2 linked regions of the Saccharomyces cerevisiae S288C genome follow. The gene in region 1 interacts genetically with each later gene. Each region holds a gene or a part of one and is shown on either strand. Other genes may lie near its edges.

Evidence for each region. Genes that interact genetically often act in the same process or in processes that back each other up.
Region 2: mutations in RTN2 (region 1) and YOP1 impair growth when combined (synthetic growth defect), as found in Saccharomyces cerevisiae (one study listed by BioGRID).

Annotation. Positions count from the first base shown.
Region 1 is NC_001136.10:90,932-99,460, forward strand, and holds RTN2 (Rtn2p), read left to right. Parts: upstream 1-3,673; coding exon 3,674-4,855; downstream 4,856-8,529. Other genes in the region: YCX1 (Ycx1p), read left to right, coding at 1-1,533; HEM3 (hydroxymethylbilane synthase), read right to left, coding at 1,831-2,814; YDL204W-A (uncharacterized protein), read left to right, coding at 3,202-3,354; ACK1 (Ack1p), read right to left, coding at 5,151-7,022; mitochondrial 54S ribosomal protein uL10m MRPL11, read left to right, coding at 7,544-8,293.
Region 2 is NC_001148.4:620,727-627,267, forward strand, and holds YOP1 (Yop1p), read left to right. Parts: upstream 1-2,800; coding exon 2,801-2,851; intron 2,852-2,984; coding exon 2,985-3,476; downstream 3,477-6,541. Other genes in the region: YPR027C (uncharacterized protein), read right to left, coding at 1-532; APL4 (AP-1 complex subunit gamma), read right to left, coding at 3,743-6,241. UniProt on the Saccharomyces cerevisiae protein: Required to generate and maintain the structure of the tubular endoplasmic reticulum network and the vacuole. Induces high curvature in membranes and causes membrane tubule formation. Involved in membrane/vesicle trafficking.

The DNA of each region.
Region 1 (8,529 bases):
AGGCCTTTGGGGGATACACAGATTGATGAGGACAACGCTATTAGTTTAGATCCAACTCGTTTACCAAGTAAATCCCTGGATAACATTTCGAGATTTAATCAAGGTATACCTGAAAGAAGGGATTTAATAAGACGTAGAATACGGGGATATTTACGGTCGCATTATCATGGCTGGGTAAGAATGACGTTACAAGATCTTTTGAATATATGGGAGAAGCAGAATCTTTTTAACAATACAGTAAAATCGTTGTCTTTACCCTCCGATGATACTCATTTATTTACTAAAGCTTCTTTAGATGAAGAAGGGAGGCCTTTAATAAGAAAAAGGATGAATTCATTACAACCTAAGGATTTTTACAAATATTTGTCCCTACGGAATGGGGAAAATTCAAATGCGCTGGATACTGCAATCTCTGCTCCCCAAAACGAGTATCAAACTTACTATAATGAACCCACAAGTTTGTTTTTGACTGTGCCACAAAAAAAAACCTCCAAGAAATCATTAAGCTGCGATCGCATTCCAAACTTGGTCCGGAGTAATAATATTATATTAAATGACGAGGCTACACGTACACAGGAATCTACCAATGCCTTGAACAGCATATCAGATGTTATCGACAACTCTCTCTTACAGTATGAGAGAGATGATATAATTCTCGATAGAACACTATCTCTCTGTTCAACAAAGAGTAGAACCGCTTGGCATAGTTTCCAACTTTACAATTACTTAACAGATGTGTCCTTGGAAATTGGTTTCTTTGAGTTCTTGTCATTATTAGTCACTACGCCGGTATCAATAATTCTTTATCTTTCAATACCATCAGAGATAAGTCAAACAGACCATGACTTACCCCTTTCATACCTACAGAATATTCAATTGATTGCTTCGCCAATAATTCTCAACCAACTCATCACAAATAACTTTTCATTTTGGTTGCTCATCTTATCGCTGGTGATAGCCATCTTATTATATTTTAAAACTAGGACCATACCGAACAAGTTCAACTCTGATATAATCTTTACAGTAGCATTTTTATTGTCATTGGCCTGTCTTTCGAAAGCTGTCCACATAATTGTAGTCACGTTAACGCATTGGATAAATGTGTTTAATATATCGGAAACAATACTAGGTTTAACCATTTTTACATGGGGTAATTCGATTGGTGATTTAGTGTCAAATATTACATTCGTCAAAATAGGTGTTTTAGAAATCGCGATAGGAGCTTGTTTTGGCAGTCCACTTTTATATTTCTTATTTGGCGTCGGATTTGATGGAATTATGATAATGCTAGGCGACAAAACTGGAAAAATAGTGAGTGGCAGAGATAGTAATATTTTAATGCATCATATTGATTTTAAAGTGGATAAAAACTTAATCAATACTGGAGTCGGAATTCTGATCGCGTTTTTGATATTTACGGTTTTGATACCATTAAACGACTGGAAAATTGACAAGAAGATTAGTATTGCACTTCTTACGTTGTATATAGTTGTCACATGTATTAGTGTTTTTTTAGAAGTTCACCAAGTGTAATTTAATAAATCAAGATTTCATTTTTTATATACAAGCTATAATAAATATATTAACAACGAAGCTTGTATGAATAGTATAAAATAAACAAAGGTAGGAATTACATATTCTAATTGACAAAATATTTATGCAGTGGTCATTTGAAAATGGTCATTAAATTAAACAAGTAATATGAGAGGAATGAGAGGGAAATAAATAACTGAAAGATAAAGGAGATAAGGAAAAAAAAAAAAAAAAAAAAAAAAAAGGGAACTTTAGTTAGTAATAATAGAGTTTTTGGACTGATCAAATTAATGGTGTTCATTTGATTCTGTCTAAATTAATTTCATCCAGAATTTTCTTTGCGCCATCGGCAATCATTCTTTCAGCTAGTATCTTACCACACGCCATGGAATCTTCTTTAACATTTTCTATTAGCATTTCAATTTCGTCTTCTACTGCTTCTGTGCCTTCAACGTCAACTACAATGGCCTTTAATAGTAATTTTTTAGTCTCTTCATTGTATTTAGATTCCACACCAATAGGAACGGAACAACCCCCCTCTAAAGTTCTCATCAAAGCACGCTCCGAAAGGCAACATATAGTTGCATTTAGATCGCAAATTTCGTCAAGAATCTTCATCATCTTGGTGTCACCCTTTCTAATTTCTATACCCAGGGCGCCTTGTCCAACTGCATGGTACATTGTATCCGAATGGAATCGCTGCGTAATTCTGTTTTCCAACCCCATACGCATCAACCCAGCAGACGCCAAGATGATGCATTGGTACGGAGATTTTGGGTCGTCTAGTTTTTGTAATCTAGTTTGTATATTTCCTCTGACACTTTCAAATTTCAAATGTGGGTATTTTCTTTTTAGCTGAGCAGATCTTCTCACGGATGAGGTTCCCACAATCCCCCCGTCTGGAAGGTCATCCAGAGACTTATAAGCAGAGTAAAAGGGCATGACAAGACAATCTGTTGGATCGACCCGCTTAGTGATACCCCCCAGCTCGAAACCCTCTGGTAGTAAAGTGGGCATGTCCTTCAGAGAATGAACGATCAAGTCAAGCTTCTTTGAGGGATCGTCATGGTAAAGATGGTCTTCCAACTCCTTTGTCCATAAAGCTTTACCGCCAAATGAGTACAAAGGTTTGAATTGAATCTGGTCACCAAGAGTTTGCAAAGTGAAAACCTTGCAGTCGTAGTCCGGATACTTTTCTTCGATCAGTTTTAAAACATGGTTGGATTGTATTACCGCCAATTTCGATTTTCTCCCACCAATATGTAGAGTTTCAGGGCCCATAGTACGTGTGTATTTACCAACTACAAATTTATCTAGATTTTCTTCGCTTTTCTTTTTTTCTATTGTTCTAGATATTAATACGGGATGAGAAGAACAGAATATTCAAAATCTAATACAGCCCTGTACCATGCAAACACGAGCGTCAATCTGCCAATGACCTTGAATTCAGGCTATGTGTAGCAATAATACAGATAGTTAGTAGCCTCGTTTATATAAAGCGTTCCTTTACTTTTTCATTTTCTTTCTTTTTTTATGTTTGATTTTTTTACTTTTTCACTTTAAAAAATTGCTGAAATTTTCGTAGCCAAAAAAAAGACCTTCATTGCTTACTCATCGGTTTCTTATTGGTCAGACGCTCCCCAGGGTCAATTGACAAGGAGAGAAGGAATGTTATATGGGAATTGCTGCGTAAAGATGGTCAAAAATCCTGGACTGCCGTACGAACGACAATGTAAGGATGACTGCATTAGCCAGAAAGACATCTTTACCCCCGGTGCTGCCAGGGAGCAAAATAATTACGAAAAGTGGACGCAAAGTTAACTTAAACTACAAGGGTAGCAGCAGAATGTGTCGGTGGTACCGGTGTGATAATGCCCCATTTGAGATGCTTGTAATTGTGGCCTAGCAATAAGAACGCAAGGCGTTTTTGTTGAAAGGAGAACAAGGTTAGACGGTGACGTTTAGGCGCATAGGCAATCTCCCCTTATTGTTCACCCTTATTTCCACCCTCAAACGATAAAGCTTGCTACTTTGATGAAAAAAATATATAAAAGGGATTGAAAAGCAGATCAATTATGTAGCAATAGTAGTAATAACTTGTTCAATTGCTTGTCTCAACTTGCCACAAACTATCATCAACATGAATAGGAATACGACTACCAATAAGAACGCGAATTTGAATAACAGTAGAAATGCTAACGCTCCCGGTGAAGCAGGTCATCAGAACAAGACGGGATTGATATACTGGACTAACCCTAGCAAGTCGGGTGCGAGCTTTGCTGCGACTCTGGTGAGTTTGCTGATCCTCAGAAATGTCAATGTTATTTCTGTTTTACTTAAGATCGGATACATGGTGTTGTTCACGAGTTTTGCGGTGGAGCTTTCTACAAAGGTGCTATTTGATAAAGGAGTAGTGTCTAGGTTTGGCATGCAAGAGTCTCCGGACCTTGTTGGCGTCTTAAAGCCTCATATCGACCGCGAATTGGATCGTCTGCCTGCGTTAGAGGACAGAATCAGAAAGTTAGTGTTTGCACACAGAACAAGAAACAATTTTACCATTGGTGTTTCCCTCTATTTCTTGCACGGCCTATTTGCTATATTCTCTATGAACACTGTTTTGATAATGACCACCATCTTTTTGTACACTGTGCCTTTAATCTACGATAGAAAGCAGGCTAGAATTGACCGTGCTATCGACAGGATGAAGGATCTAGTTATTCATAGGTTTCACAAAAATTACAACAAGGTGGTTGAAAAGACTGAACCATACATTGACAAGATTATCCCACCCCAAACCGATGAAGGCAGCTACTCAACCTCTATCAGTAACGAAAACAAATCTTCTACTTCTCAACGTAACAAGAGCGGCCTTTCCTCTTCTGAGTTTGACAACATGAACGACACGTCAGCCTCCAAAAGTGGCAAAGACAGCTATTCTACCTCTCAATATAACCGAGCCGAATATCCAGTTTCTCAGAATGAGAATATTGGCACCTTAAAATCTGGGAAGCAGGAAATACCAACAGAGAAGGATTTCAACAACAGGCATGAAAACTTCAGTAAACCAGATGTCAAGACATATGATCCAAGAACAGTTGATATTGAAGAAGAATTAGCAGCTCATCAGCGTGAACTGGAGCAAAACCTAAAAGATGGTGATTACAATCTGGTAGGAAGCAAGGAAATCCCAGATCCAATCACCGTTCCAGCTCCAACTAGACACACCACTAAACCCGCCGAAAGCCAATCGATTCCCATCAAGAATAATGAAACCTTACACAAAACCACGCACGGCCTAAAGCAAAAATTGCAACACGCATAATCTAGTTTTTTTTTTTTTCTCTCTTCTTTCTAGCTAGTAGTTCATTTCCTTTTCTTTTTTTCAAAGAGGTCATATTTATCACCAACTATATATTTTTTTGAAGAAAAGATATCATTACAACGATAAGTAGTTACAATATTTTTTTTATTTAGTTTAAAATAATGAGTAAATGACGTCGCATTTCTTCGCTTTTGTTATTTTTATTCTCCTCTCATTTTTGAGGAGAATGTTACAATATTTTACTAATGTCCTGAATAATATTTGATTTATGGCATAATAAAGAAATGCGAATTCGTTAATTTGTCAAACTTCGAAGAGCATCAACTGCCTTCCTGAATCCCATTCTTGCAGCCCTCTGATAATATTGTTTGGCCAGATCCAAATCAACTTCACAACCGACACCTTTTTCGTAATAAAATCCTAAGGCAAATTCAGTGCGGGCTAATTTACCGTCTGAACACTTGCTGCTCTTCAAGGCCCAGTTGAATGCCTCTTTATTGTTTGGTTTCAAAATATTTGGTGCTCCCGTTAAGTACCATCCACTTAAGGATAACATTGCCATCGGATTCCCCTTCGGCTGAGCAGCAGCAGCTTTGGAATACCAATATATGGATTTTTTGGCCACCACTGGCAACCCTAGGTCTCCAAACTCATAACAATTTCCTAATTTCCATTGCGCTAAAGGGTACTCAAAATCTTTGGCACATTGTTGGTAGTATTTTATTGCCAGTTGAGAGTCTTTTCGTATGCCGTTCGCAAATAATAGGTTCTGGATTTCTGGCGGCAAAACACTGAATTCATATATTTTACCTAACTCATATAATGTTTGTGGAGAGTCACCCTTTTGGGCAGCTTTATCAAACCATTTAATAGCTAGCAATACATCAGTCTTTTGCATGTTCAGACCGTATAAATGGCTCATCCCTAATTTATACATACACGCAGAATTTGAACAAACTTCTGCGCCATGCTGGTAGTATTGGAAGGCCTTTTTTATGCATTGTTCTTTGGTTGGTGATGGATCCAAAGAAGAGGTGCCCCTTTGGTATTCAAAGCATACACCTGCACGGTAGCATGCATCTGAATTGTTCAATTTCGCAGCTTTACAATAATATTCCAGCGCCTTTTCATCATTTTTAATAACGATGTTTTTGTTCTTTATAGGTAAATAGGGTTGGTGTGAATACAGCGTCCCCATTAAATACATGGCAGGTGGCCATTTTAAAGTTATCAATTTTGTGAGCACCTTGAATGAATGTTCCAAAATGACTTTCTGGTTTTTGAGCATTTCCTCAGGCTTTAAGCTTCTTTTGAGCTTCTCCGCGTTTATGTTATATTGCGATATGAAATCCTCATTAAAGGCATATGTAAGTAATGTTTCACACCATTGCATTTGTATCTCGGGGGTGAATTTTGAAGAGTCAGTAATTGTCTTCTTGTACACTTGATAGAAAGCCAATGCCTCTGGTGAATAGGAAGACAGTTTGTCCTCACCACCTGAGGACCCATTATCGTCTGTCTTCGCGCTCCCAGTGGGTGGTTGGTTGATTTTTTGTGGTGGAACAGGATTATTATTCAAAGGTCGTATTGGAGCTTTTTCCTCGGTTCTGTAAACTTTTTCCTGCAGTATCCTAGATTCAGATTCCTCATAGGGTGGTGGCGCTGAGTTGTCCCTTACAGACTCTGATATTCGATTTCCACTGCTTATTGATGCATCTTGTACAGCTGGTGAACCCAAACTCTCTTTTGTAGAACTAAAATTGAAAGGAAGTTCATACCTACTACCAGTACTGTTGGTGCCATTATTGGCATATCCTATTTCACCTGTTGGCTTGGAATTAAAAATGTCCATGCCGTTATTACTATTTATGGTTACTGGAGTGCCTAATTGACCACCATCAGCATTCCCGTCTGTGAAATTCAGCGCACTCAAAGGCAGCGATAATGATGAGGAAGATGAAGGGGATGTAAAAGGAATAGCTGGTGTGAGTTCAACGATAGAGTCATCCACTGGATAGGGTGCAGGCACTATATTTTGAGCTGGCAAACCATGCCTATCCGAATTGGCATTTCCCAATTTATGCGAGGACTCCCGCGCCCTTGCTGGTGGAAACATGTTAATGTGTTTGTCATAGAGGTTAGGTTGCGGTTGGCCCTGATTAACCATTGCCTACTGTATTAAAACAAAGTATTAAAACGTGGTGGTACACTCTGTACAAAAGAATAGAAGGAAATGAAAAGAAAACGGAGTTAAAATCTACTTCATAAAAAGAGACGCTTCCAAATCCAGTCTCTACCACGTTCTTGTATATAATTTGAGCAACTCAAATTAAATTACCGGGATATCTGCTTATTCTACAAGCCATAGCATCCAGTGCTAAGGTTCATCTCAAGCCATCTTCAATACACTTGATAATTAGTCGTCAATTTTAAAATTAGGTTTCGTTCTTGAAGGCACTTAACCTAAGCTTTTTACTATATGACCTATTAAACAAGTCTTTTTCATAGTGTAACCTAACGTTTATACACTAATAACCCTAGGGCTTAGTAGAGATTCATACAGAAAAAAACGTAGAGTTATAGCAGTAAACTGAGAAAAGAAAGAAGGTTAGTACAATTGAAGAGTAAGGAAAACAAAAGCTTTAGACCTTATTGGAAGTGCTTGGGCGCGGAGTGTGATTATAAATAATGTTGCAGCTAAGGTTTATGCCTGGATGGGTCCCCAGAAATGGTTTTTTTGGTTTGAAGGAGACAATTGGTACAGTACATAAGAGATTTTATGCTCTGGCTTCTGAACAACCCTCAAGAAAGACAGTAAAGCCGCTGGACTCGAGGAAGACGTTTCTCATCGATACATACAAGCATTTAATGGAGAACAGTTCTATGATTTTTTTTGTCCATTACAATAATCTTTCCAAAACAGAAGATCACCATTTCAGATTCAAGATTAAACAGACAGGAGGGAAACTCACAAAAGTAAGAAACAACCTGTTCGAAGTCTACTTGAGAAATTCGCATCTGCCCGACCCATGTGGATTCGTGAAGCGTAAAGAGCAAAACTGGAAACATCCACTCTTGCCACTACTGAAGGGTCCTACGGCCACAATTACATACGAAGACACCAACCCTCAACAAGTAGCCAAGCTATTGAAGGTTCTGCAGTCAGCACAAGACAAGCTGATGGTGATTGGTGCAAAAGTAGAAAACGAAGTTTTGAATGTGGAAAAAATAAACACTTTTAAGACTCTCCCCACAAAGCCGGAAATGCAGTCGCAGTTAGTCAGCGTTTTGCAAATGCTAAGTGGGTTGGGTTTGGTTCGTACGTTGGAAAACAGTTCAAATGCATTGTATTTAACACTAAAATCTCACAATGACAACCAAAAACCTAAAGAGGATGTGGAGTCAACTACAGATGCAGAATCGAAGGGATCAAAGTAAAAAGAAAATGCCCGTAATTCGACAAGTTTTATAAAGGTTTTACTATTCAATCATGTACATACATCATCAAAAAATAAAAAGACAATGAAGCAATAACGGTAAATATACTTTAGTCTATGTATTGACGTCAAAATTACCTTTCTTTTACCTTTCTTACCTTTTTACATATCTCAGCGACCGTTGAAAAAAAAAAAAAATGAAAAATTTTGGTGATGACTTCAGCAAAAAATTTCAGG
Region 2 (6,541 bases), on another chromosome or scaffold:
AAGGCAGAGCCGTCTTCTCGCCAAGTTTGAGAATCAAACAGTTTTGGTTTAGTTCACTTCCTGAAGTATTCATATTTACTCCTAAGTATAGGTCGAGAGGTTCAAATGTTGTTTTGATTTTTTCATTCACATAATTTGAAGGTAGCTCGACGTATTTTGGTTTAATTAGGTCATATAACCTTTGCGGTTCATTGATACCATCATTTTCGAGCTTGTTGATAAGCTCGATGATTAATGAAAACATTAAGATTACAACTCCTAGCCCACAGGATATCATATTGGCCGGATTTTCACCTACAGAAAAACATGATACCATAGTTTGAATTACTTGAAGTGTTAGTTTAGTGTCATCCAGTTTCTTTTCACTAACAGATTTTGTAGCGGCAGGTGCAGGTGCAGTAGAAGTTGATGTCACCGTTTCATATACAGTTTTGATGATTGTAACAGTATCTATCATGTCATCATCATGGAATGCAAAAAGAAGACCCAGGAGTGGGACGAACGAAGCAAGTATTCTGTAAATACCAACCATTTCTTTTTATCTGGCGCTTTATATGTTTATGAATAGTACGTTATGATGATTGTTTTTTTACAAATGTTTGTGAATTACACTAATGGTAATTCCCTCTTTAGTTAGAAGTAATGGAAAATTAGTACTTTCTAATTCTTGTGATCAACGCTTTTTCAACGTTGCCATCATCAACAGAATCTCGATCTGCTAGCCAACATCAAAAAGTTGTTTGCCGCACATCATGTAACCGAACTTTCAGTACCACAAAAACTAATATGCACGGCGCTTGAAAAGTGCTTTAATTTTGTAAACTATTTTGTTTTGTAAATTTCTAGGCAGTTGAGGCTACCGTCGTGACCACAGAAAGAAAACATCTTCAAAACACTTTAGTGACTGTCCATATAGCCGCCGAAGTTAGTCGCTGATATAATTTGAAACCTACATTATTATTTGTTCGTTTGGAAGACACGTTAGGTTTAGTATCAATAAACTTCCCATCCGAAACACTTATTCTACTAGTGTGTTTCATAATGCGTAAGCCAGCACGTATATATTCATCTCAATTTGTTACACACTTAACATACTATATAATTCCTGAGAAAATGCCCAGCTCATAAACATCGGTAGTCCAATTCAAGAACGGGGGAACTGAATTTGGGAGTAATCAAAAAAAAAAAAAGACGTTACTTCATCGTTTTTGTTGTCATTGTACACTTCTTTCATTTCTTTTCAGATTTAACTTCTCTGTCCGTAGTCGGCAAATAACGGTCCTTTAAATGCAAGGGATCATCAAGAGATTTTGAAAAACTGTGGAGCCAGATATTTATTTGTCAACTTTGGACATCTACCTTAGTCTGTCTGCTTCCCTCTTTTTGACCTCTTTTAGTAAACTCTGAGGTGGGATGACTGACTCTGACGGAGAAAGTATGTAGATATCTCAAGAAAGTATCAGTCCACGATATAGTAGGAAATATTATACAATACGTAATGGAAGCAAAGTGTGCTTCCATGAGTTTTAGACAAATTTATGTCCCTAAAACTTCGAACTTTTAACGGGAACAATTTTGGCCGTGATAAATTCTTTTCCAACGCTTATATTGATTATCCGTTATTGGTTTTTTGTTGGAGACATTAAAAGATGGCCAATGGCGTAAGAAAATTTTGAAAAAAAGTCAGACATTCAAGTTGAAAAACTCCTTCATCTTCCTACTTGAGTCTATATTTTCATTGATATTTCCATAAGAGAAGGAGCAGTCAAGTTCAAGAACCAACTTTCCGCAGTTGGCAGGTCGAAAAAATAAATGCGAATTCTGTGGATCGAACACAGGACCTCCAGATAACTTGACCGAAGTTTTTTCTTCAGTCTGGCGCTCTCCCAACTGAGCTAAATCCGCATATCAGAATGAAATAAACAAGCATTCTTGTGCTTTATAAATGGTCCAAGCGTCTAACTTTTAAAGAGTACATTCTAAAAGTAAGAGACGAAGACAACATTATAATAATTTTCTCAAGACATATATGTTTCACCGGCACGTTTTGTTTTGTCCCCTTTTATTTTGAGCCTGAATACTATGCTTTATAAAACTTTAATGCGCTCAACAAGTGCACCTTCCAACGGAAAAAAAGAAATTCAACAGGGAGCGATGCCATCATCACATGCACGTTTTCAAGTATTTATAAGACTTGCTACTTGCTCGTCCATTCATGACTTTAATGAGGTTCTAATTTATTGGTGCAACTCTTCAAACTAGCTGCCCAATCAGTGCTGGAATGAGTGCCAAGACAAGCGACAAACCCTGTCAATCTCCTGAAAAACAAAAATTAAGTGCTTGAGAAGACCTTCAGAAGAGTTGCATAGATAGGATGGGTGAGCGCAATTACTAGTTACGCAGTAAGTAGGTTATATGGCTGCTGGAGGGGCAGTACTGATTTAATCACAATCCGGATTAAACTTCCTCCTGAAAAAAAAAAAACTACATCAAGTCAAAAGATTTTCATTCACTCTTTGGAAGGCTGTGTGGCATTCTAACCTTTATTTTTTTATCACCATTCTCGAATTTTCGTGGTTCGCTTTCTTAGCGCCGTTATTCTCTCTTCTTGTCCACGTCAAAGGGAGTATGCGTAACCCCTTTCAAGGTTGAACGAAAAAAAAAAAAATATGTCCTTCAAAATTTTTTTTGATTTAAAACTAAAAAACATTCCCTTGAAGCTTGTTATTCCGAAAGAAAGAATCTAAAATTGCAATTGGTAGTGAAAACAAATAAACAAAGACATAACCGCACTCCAATCATGTCCGAATATGCATCTAGTATTCACTCTCAAATGAAACAATTCGATACCGTATGTAAGATGGTTTTATTGGTTCCATCGTCATCATGGTTCAAACAGCCAAATGACCCGACACACGTAACCGAAGCAGTTATACTAACAAGAAAGCTAATTTTCACCCTCCTTGCTACATTTTTTTCTACAGAAGTACTCTGGTAATAGAATTTTACAGCAATTAGAAAATAAAACTAATTTGCCTAAATCTTATTTAGTTGCTGGTTTAGGTTTCGCTTATCTCCTTTTGATTTTTATTAACGTCGGAGGTGTAGGTGAAATTCTTTCCAATTTTGCTGGGTTTGTGTTGCCAGCATATTTATCGTTGGTTGCTTTGAAGACACCAACGTCCACCGATGACACACAACTCTTGACCTACTGGATTGTCTTTTCATTTTTGAGTGTCATTGAATTCTGGTCCAAGGCAATTCTATATTTGATTCCATTCTACTGGTTTTTGAAAACCGTTTTCTTAATCTACATTGCCTTGCCTCAAACTGGTGGCGCTAGAATGATCTATCAAAAGATCGTAGCCCCATTGACCGACAGATATATCCTAAGAGATGTTAGCAAGACAGAAAAGGATGAAATTAGAGCTTCCGTCAATGAGGCTTCTAAGGCTACAGGTGCTTCTGTTCATTAAGAGGCAACTCACCTATATCCTCAAATCAAACTCTCGTTTTTGTTCTCTTTGTTATCTATTCTATTGAGAGCATATAAGTACATATGTTATTAGTTGTTATATATCGCTACTTAACATATAAAATATTTTGGAGTCGTTTATGGTGTCCCAGAAGATAGCATTTCTATTCATCGTGTTGTGTCGTGACGTGTCTCTTGATATGCGCGACAGACCATCCAACGCAAGGTCATTAATCATGTTATGTTCTGTAATTTTAAAGGCATTTTTTATAGAGTTTCATCGAATTTGTGATCGAACTGTTCATTGGTGATAGATGAAGAGCCATTTAAATGAAAATCCAACTTAACTCTTAACTTCAGTTTCCCAGATCCAGAAATTTTCAATGACTGCTTGCAAATTTGGCTGGCGTTTATTGTGGAAGATGGATATAACTGGCCTAGTGTTAGCTTTTGAGCTTTAGGAACGGCACAGAAAGTTTTTAAGTCAGATATTAAAGACTTTGCCTGAAAATATAAATCCAAATGTGCTAATCCAGAGTTTGCAGAGAGCAAGGAAGCATATACATTCAGTGAGGAACTGTCATATATCTTGTTGGCATCCAATGGTAAGGTGACACCTGAGTTTGCCTCCACTGCCGACGAATGATTGATTGATTCTTCCTTGTTCGCATTTTTGGGCACCTGAGCAATGTCATTCTTCTCTCCAAAAATCTCTTCTAATATGTCAATTGGTTTCACATTGTCACCAGTAGAAGCCTTGCTTTCAGCCTTGCTATCCTCACCCAATAAATCTGACAGCAGATCAACTGGTTCGTTGGAGATAAGGTTTTTCGATAGAGCTTTTCCATTATCCTGTTCCTCGGTAATTTTTTCAAATTTAGGCATTGTTTCTAAAATGATCTTCTTCACAGAAATTGACTGATTGAAAAATATCTCGTATTGATTGCTTTTCATTTGCAGTGATAAATCAGTGGAATCCGTGTAGCTCAATATCAGTTGTCTTAGTTTTTCAATATTTTTCGCGTCATGGAACCTCACAGATAATTTTAATGCTGCTGTTAAAATGTAATTGATTATCTTCAGATTCGTTGCTGTGTAGAGTTCTTGCAAAGTTAGTAAGTAATCAGTAATAGATGACTCATTGATTATGTCTGCACCATTTTTATTGCCCTCGTTGAGTACTAAATCGCCATATTCGCCAATGCACCAAATCAAAACCAACTGCCAACCAATATTTTCCTCGGAAATCTCCGCTGATGTTCCATTTAGTGAAATTGTCAGCATTTTCCGTAAAAATTCAGATTTGTCGGATAACTGGCTCGTATTATTTATTATGATTAGAATATCATTAATTTTTTCATAGTTGATAAACGATCCCACTAATTTTAAGATATTAAAGAAAACATCTAATTTCCAGCTTTCATCTTTGACAACGCGGGTATCAAAAGTGTCAATTAAGTGATCTATAGTGTATATTATGAGATCTTTTGAATCTTCATCCTGTTTTGCCAAAAATTTCATCAATTCGTTAACCAATTCCACTAAATTTGAATCGTCCAAGATGGCGAAGCTCAACTCTAACGCTCTCATGCGGATCGACACATCGGTATCCTGCAGACAATGAGAAATGAATTTTCTATGCCTTTGTACTGCGGTAGGCTCTTGGGGAACAACTTTTAATAAGGTGTTTAATGAAACGTATTTAGTATTATTATCTTTTCCTGCAAGAAACTTGGCCAAGATGTTAATACCAAGGACACGTAGAGGCTGGTTCAAATCCAACGAAAAGATCGTCTTCACGGTCTCATAAAGAATGGCCTGTCCGCTGTTTTTCGTTGAATCCGTATTCGTCGCAATACGAGTCAATAAATCGCAGAAATTATCTTTGTAGTCCAAAACATTGTTCGAATTTAAGAGCTCACCAACTTGAAAGTATAGTTTTAAAGTGTAAATTATTTCACACTGCAGAAATGGGTCACAAATACCTTGGACATCATATCCAGGTTCAATATTTTTAGAATTCATATTTTCCAAACGAATGAAAAAATCACGCAAAAGTAAAGATAATGGAGACAAGATGTCATTGCTGTAATCAATACCGTCTTCATCTTCATCCTCATCTTTTTTTCTGTTCAATCCAATTAACAAAATAGATTGTATGATTTTCGTAACGCCTAAAAGTACACCGTGAGTACATATTGAATGACTAGACAATATCTTAGTAATGTCTTCGATGTTGAAGATTTCTAAAAGTGAAACGTCTTTGAAAATTAGTTTGGCAGCACATTGAAGCGCTTTTTTCAAGAGGAAAGGGTCTCTTGAATTTTTGATGATATTTTCGACGTCTGGGTATAAATCTCTGGCTAATTCAGGGGAGCTCAAAAAGCCTAATGAGGTTAGTGCAAGTGACACTGCATATTTGTTGGGATGATGCAAATCGTTGTTCAACATGTTCGTTAAGAGTGTCAATAAATCTTCAGATTCGTCCAACAATAAAGTTGCGGCCAGATAGCCTAATCTTTTATCGACAAAATCGTCAGAAGCAATTAAATTGATAGACTCCACCTGACCGAAATGTGTCTTTTCCCCTAGAATGTATAGATACAGAAGTTTCTGGATATTTACTCGCCTTTTTTCATGTGGTAGATGGTCATCTCTCAATTTTGTCCTAATTTTAGCAGATTGTTTCGTTATAATTGCCCTTTCATCTGCCAGTGTTTTGGCACCACGAACGTCTTTGATAAAGCTTCTCAACGAAGAGCCCATTATGGTGTTCAGGTCTTTCTCGTTGCTAAATCAAGATGGTCAATATTTCTTCTCCAATATTAGCAGTATAAAATCTCGAAAAAGTATGATTTAGTTGTAATTCTCATATGGCCAAGCCCACTAAATTCAGTGAATACAAACAGCTAAGGACGTCAAAACTCAGAGTCGGGTAATCTTCATTTGAATTTTTTTTCTCTTAAGGTAGATAACACCAAAGAAAAGCAATCAGTAGCAAAATATGGACTTTAACGCTGTCAGTTCCAATTGAGAAATATCGTAAAGAAAGTTAGTTGTTTTCAC